Saccharomyces cerevisiae S288C: one gene and its partner. The main gene of each other region encodes a partner of the protein of the gene in region 2 in a complex. Each region holds a gene or a part of one and is shown on either strand. Other genes may lie near its edges. The genes, in order: RPS25A and TAE1. A codon is read from its position in the direction of its gene.

What was found.
Region 1: the proteins of TAE1 (region 2) and RPS25A are in contact, whole or in part, in a crystal structure (PDB 7D8D), measured with the Saccharomyces cerevisiae proteins. Residues at the interface, in NP_009820.1 of Saccharomyces cerevisiae: Trp18 (codon at 1,481), Val28 (codon at 1,451), Leu29 (codon at 1,448), Gly30 (codon at 1,445), Tyr32 (codon at 1,439), Val38 (codon at 1,421), Trp140 (codon at 1,115), Asn172 (codon at 1,019), Pro175 (codon at 1,010), Asp180 (codon at 995), Asp182 (codon at 989), Asp185 (codon at 980), Ser187 (codon at 974), Glu218 (codon at 881), Leu219 (codon at 878), Tyr220 (codon at 875), Pro221 (codon at 872); in NP_011541.1 of Saccharomyces cerevisiae: Pro2 (codon at 979), Pro3 (codon at 976), Lys4 (codon at 973), Gln5 (codon at 970), Gln6 (codon at 967), Leu7 (codon at 964).

The regions. Positions count from the first base shown.
Region 1 is NC_001139.9:533,477-536,448, forward strand, and holds RPS25A (40S ribosomal protein eS25 RPS25A), read right to left. Parts: upstream 983-2,972; coding exon 656-982; downstream 1-655. Other genes in the region: YGR026W (uncharacterized protein), read left to right, coding at 1-345; YGR027W-A (gag protein), read left to right, coding at 2,581-2,972. UniProt on the Saccharomyces cerevisiae protein: Component of the ribosome, a large ribonucleoprotein complex responsible for the synthesis of proteins in the cell.
Region 2 is NC_001134.8:733,999-737,250, forward strand, and holds TAE1 (N-terminal protein methyltransferase), read right to left. Parts: upstream 1,533-3,252; coding exon 834-1,532; downstream 1-833. Other genes in the region: GTPase-activating protein RGD1, read right to left, coding at 1-641; MIC12 (Mic12p), read right to left, coding at 1,722-2,042; glycine hydroxymethyltransferase SHM1, read left to right, coding at 2,266-3,252. UniProt on the Saccharomyces cerevisiae protein: Alpha-N-methyltransferase that methylates the N-terminus of target proteins containing the N-terminal motif [Ala/Pro/Ser]-Pro-Lys when the initiator Met is cleaved.

The DNA of each region.
Region 1 (2,972 bases), on a different chromosome or scaffold from region 2:
TTGAATGCTAACAAAGAAGAAAAGATCCCTTTAACACCCAAAGACAGAAAAATGCTACACTTACTTGCGTACTCTGAATTACTTGTTATCTTAGCGCTAACACTAGACACTATATTGTTTAAGACGGGTACATCCGGATTTATGCTCGTCATTTATGTTGGTATTTATTGGTTGAGGTTGAACTTCTCTCCATACGCACAAGTGGCTGTTTTGGAGTTACTTGTCAAGTTTGAAAAATACGTCCCCAAAAAATATAGAGACAAATGGCAGGTTATAAAGAACTTTATTTATATGAAAATGAAGGAGCACGAAAAGAGAACAGAAGAAGTTGCCAGATACGCGTAAGAAATTCTCTAACTTAAGATGACCAGATGTCATGTTCGTTTACTTATTTTCCTCTCCTCTTACCTTTTTTGGCCACTAACGCTCGTACAGAAATGGACGGCATACATACAATTTAATCAATTCTCTTAAATACCGTTTTATACCTCATTTCTGACTTTTCAGCCGTTAATGTTCCTTTTTTTTTTAGACTATTGTATGTATCACTTCCTGAATGATGTCTTCCATAACACAAACGTGACGTGCAAATAAACATACATAAAAATATTATTGAAAATACAGATTATTTAAAATTATATAACCCGTTCCCTGTTTATTCAGAAGCAGTAGCTCTGGTGTAGATAGCTTGCTTGGAGTGCTTGGAGATTGGCTTGATGATACCTTCCTTTTCCAAGTGTCTCAAAGCAATTCTAGCTAAAGAACCACCAATCTTTAATCTGTCGACCAAAACAGAGACAGAAACGTATCTGTAAGTTGGAACTTCCTTCAAGATTCTGTCGTACTTCTCTTGGTCTAAAATGACAGCGTGTTGAGCTCTGTCTTTCATGGACTTTTTGGACCACTTCTTCTTAGACTTCTTACCACCAGCAAGGGCAGCAGCGGCTTTGGCAGCTTTAGATAATTGTTGCTTTGGAGGCATGATTTATTAAATGTTCTATGATAAAGTAAAAAGTAAAAACATACTTGTTAGTAAAAAACCGAACTCTAGTAGAATTTGGGATAAAGACTATTTGCTAATGACTTGAATTGTAGATTGAATTTAACTGTAAATCACCACTAAGTACGTAGTTTCCTTCTCTCAAAGTACCATGGGTAGCTAGATCTGTGCTATGGAGCATATAACAGAGACATGGATATTCATCCCATTAAGGTAGAACAGGCTTTTATGACATATTAAATCCTGGATTGGCCAGTCACTATTTCATCTTATCCGCCTAATATTGGTTTCAAATTTATAGATACATACACTAAAACTAACAGGGCTTGACGGTTTTCGATAACAAAGAATACGATTTCAATATTCAACTGAGCAATCTTAATAGTATTAAATGCTTCGTGAACTTTAAGAGATACTTCGTGAAGTTGTTCTGTCGCACAATTCTTCCTGTAGAAGGCGTCCTTCGTTTTTTTGTCTTCGCGCGTTACAGGGTAAATGAACCTCTTTATGGGTGAATGGGTTACACAAATGCACGGATGCATATATAAAATATAGAATTTTGCTTTATATTATTTTGAGCGGGCTAGAATCCACTCAGTGTACAAAGTACTATTCATTATATTGAACTGAAGAGGCAAGAACTATTTAGCTCAATCAACCACCTTAATAAAGTATTTGGAGTGATATATCGGCTTGTTTTAGTTTAATTCTTGTGGATATTTAGATATCAAGGTTGTTGGAATAAAAATCCACTATCGTCTATCAACTAATAGTTATATTATCAATATATTATCATATACGGTGTTAAGATGATGACATAAGTTATGAGAAGCTGTCATCGAAGTTAGAGGAAGCTGAAGTGCAAGGATTGATAATGTAATAGGATAATGAAACATATAAAACGGAATGAGGAATAATCGTAATATTAGTATGTAGAAATATAGATTCCATTTTGAGGATTCCTATATCCTTGAGGAGAACTTCTAGTATATTCTGTATACCTAATATTATAGCCTTTATCAACAATGGAATCCCAACAATTATCTCAACATTCCCCCATTTTTCAAAGGTAATTTTTGGAATTCCTTGCAAAGCTGTAATTAGGTATACAAAATACACTAGATACTCTACTCGACGATATAGTAATCCTCATAAGGGAATCGGTATTTCTAATATTACGTTATTTTTATTTTCTTTTACTGTTTTCTATGTTGTAGTTCATAATTCCATAACATTATTAATCCTAGTGCTTCAGCTTCCATTGAATCTGATGACTTTTTCTCTGTTGGAATAAAAATCCACTATCGTCTATCAACTAATAGTTATATTATCAATATATTATCATATACGGTGTTAAGATGATGACATAAGTTATGAGAAGCTGTCATCGAAGTTAGAGGAAGCTGAAACGCAAGGATTGATAATGTAATAGGATCAATGAATATAAACATATAAAACGGAATGAGGAATAATCGTAATATTAGTATGTAGAAATATAGATTCCATTTTGAGGATTCCTATATCCTCGAGGAGAACTTCTAGTATATTCTGTATACCTAATATTATAGCCTTTATCAACAATGGAATCCCAACAATTATCTCAACATTCACATATTTCTCATGGTAGCGCCTGTGCTTCGGTTACTTCTAAGGAAGTCCACACAAATCAAGATCCGTTAGACGTTTCAGCTTCCAAAACAGAAGAATGTGAGAAGGCTTCCACTAAGGCTAACTCTCAACAGACAACAACACCTGCTTCATCAGCTGTTCCAGAGAACCCCCATCATGCCTCTCCTCAAACTGCTCAGTCACATTCACCACAGAATGGGCCGTACCCACAGCAGTGCATGATGACCCAAAACCAAGCCAATCCATCTGGTTGGTCATTTTACGGACACCCATCTATGATTCCGTATACACCTTATCAAATGTCGCCTATGTACTTTCCACCTGGGCCACAATCACAGTTTCC
Region 2 (3,252 bases):
TCCAGATCGGCGTTATCGATTTTTCTTAACAATTCTTCTTCTTGTTCCTTCGTAGTTTTGGAACCTCTCAAGGTCAGCTTTGTTTTTGTTGGGTCAGTCATCCTCAATTTGTCCCAATCTTGGCACAACGAATTGTAACGAGATTGCGCCTTTTCTGCGCTGTGTATGGCATCAGAAACATCCTTTTCCAGCCTTTTGCTGTTCTCCTTGACAGACTTTCTTAATTTTGTCATTGTTAATAAAAGACTACTAATCTCGGAGTACATTTTCTGCAAGGCGGTGATATAACTCTGCTTTACTTGAGCCATCTTGCCATCGAATCCCAAAACTTCGTGAATCATCTTTTTTAAGGATGAATTTGTGGAACCCTGAATGTTGAAAAAGTGCTTATATTGCTTGGAGAGCTCCTGAACGTGCTCTTCTTCGAAGGCGTATTTCTTTCTAATAAATTTCATAAACTCTTCACAAGTCAACAACGACTGCTTTAAACGGCTCAACAAAGCGTTAATTGCCACATCGGAATTTAGCACCTTCTTGATCTCTGGCGTGCTAAAAAGGTGCGCCAAATCGTCGGTGCCACCATCGTGCGACGACTTCGCACTTACTGTGGCACTAGCTGGTTTCTTCGCAGTCTCTTCCATCTTGTCTATATCACTTCTCTTTTAATCTTCCGAGATTGTATGTTTTTACTTTACATACTATTTTGTTCACATTCTTTATTTTCTGGGTTCTTTTTCCATATATATCGAAAAAAAAGTCTATATAATGGCACAAATGGTGAATGCCAGCACAAGAAAAGGGGCGTATCTATATAAATCTATGCATCCTTGATCCTAGTTTGGCATGGGCTTGAGTGCGTACATCCTCACTGGGTACAATTCTCTTGGTAAGCCACGTTGTCTTTCACTGGCGATGAGCTTTAGGCCAGCTTCTTCGAAGATTTGCCTGAACTTAGCATCTGACCTTGTGACCGAAGAATCCGTTTCGTCGAAATCATCGGTATCTGTAGGTGTGTTATTTTCTTTGACCACGATTGTCCCATTAGGTTGCAAACCAACAATACATCTTTTCAGGAATGCGACGAGTTCTGCATCTGGCAGGTGTCCCACGCACCATTGGCACCAGATCAGCCAGTACTTGCCGGCATCGGGGGTCCAGTCCTGCATCCCTACTTCATATATTTGTCCAATTTGGCCTTTGTCTTTCAGCTCAGCCAATTCAACGTGCATTTGCTCGATAAAAGGCTTTACCGGTTCTACAAGGTCTATCTTAGCGGCGTGCTTGTGAAGCATGGTCTTGCTTACACGTCCAATCCCCGCACCAATGTCTACAGCGTACTTCACGTTGTTCTCCTGAGGCAGCATCCTCGACTTCAGTTTACGCAGGAAGTTATTGGATCCCAGGACATCCATTGTGGGTACTACTGTACCTTCTCCGTATCCACCTAGAACACCATCCACAGTGGCGTCCACATCCGTCCAATAGTCGATGGCATCTTCGTATTTGATATGGGAATCTGCAGGCACGTCCATCGTTGTTGTTTATGTATTCTTTCTTGGAGATGCTCTTGACACCGATGCACATTACCAGAGTGAAAAGTACTGATTAATAATTAAATTTTTCTTTTGATATTTTTTCTGAATATAAAGTTCTACACAGAGTCGTTACAATAGGTTATATACATGAGGATGTTCGTTACAGTAGGAGAAATAGAAAGCTCGCTAATTCTTACCCCAGGAGTAGATCCAATCGACAGAGTTTCTTATCTGTTCATTCCAAATATCTTTTATGCTCTCCCCCATGGTCCTGCTCCATGCAGTGCCATCATCCGTCACAACTAGCTTGCGGTTCCTGGTCTCCCCAGGTACCACTTCTTTTCTATCCACCAGGTCCTGTACCTGATGATCTTGTTTCAACCATGTAGCATCGTGATCGTAGAAGTAGCCATTGTTACTGTATCGGTACAGGTAAAAAACAGAACCGATTACTCCCACAGAGAGAGTCCACTTCACAGATCTTGCTAACGGACCCAATTTCGACATGATTCTCTCCGTTATCTGCTGGTTCTTAGTCCACTGTCTGTTCTGTCCCCCTTCTGTCCAAGAGATAGAATATAAAAAAGACTCATTATTTTTTTTTAGGTACTTCGCTTATTGGTGGTCAATGAGAAAAAAAATACTAAAAGCCATCGCCTCTTGGAGAAGAGCAAACTATCAAAAATCATCAAGCCGACATTTCCACATCGAGTCTCATAGTCTTTCAATCATGTTTCCCAGAGCTTCTGCATTGGCCAAATGTATGGCAACTGTTCATCGTCGTGGGCTACTCACCAGTGGTGCACAATCGCTAGTCTCCAAACCAGTCTCGGAGGGAGATCCAGAGATGTTTGACATCTTGCAACAAGAACGTCACAGACAAAAACACTCTATCACCCTTATCCCATCAGAAAACTTCACCTCGAAGGCCGTTATGGATTTGCTAGGTTCTGAGCTCCAAAACAAGTATTCTGAAGGTTATCCAGGTGAAAGATACTACGGAGGTAACGAAATCATCGATAAGTCCGAATCCTTGTGTCAAGCAAGAGCTCTGGAACTGTACGGATTAGACCCTGCCAAGTGGGGAGTTAATGTTCAACCATTAAGCGGGGCACCTGCCAATTTGTATGTTTACTCCGCTATCATGAACGTTGGTGAAAGATTAATGGGATTGGATTTGCCAGATGGTGGTCACTTGTCTCACGGGTACCAACTTAAGTCAGGAACGCCAATTTCTTTCATTTCCAAATACTTCCAAAGTATGCCATACCATGTCGACCACACTACGGGGCTAATCGATTACGATAACTTGCAAGTATTGGCCAAGGCATTCAGACCAAAGGTGATCGTGGCCGGTACTTCCGCGTACTCGAGATTAATAGACTACGCTAGATTCAAGGAAATTTCCCAAGGATGCGGCGCATATTTGATGAGTGATATGGCACACATATCCGGTTTGGTGGCAGCCAATGTTGTCCCATCTCCATTTGAACATTCCGATATAGTTACCACAACCACTCACAAGTCCTTGAGAGGCCCAAGAGGTGCTATGATTTTCTTCAGAAAGGGTATCAAGTCTGTCACCAAAAAGGGCAAGGAAATCCCATATGAGTTAGAAAAGAAAATCAACTTCTCAGTTTTCCCAGGACATCAAGGTGGTCCTCACAACCATACTATCGGTGCAATGGCAGTGGCATTAAAGCAAGCGATGTCTCCA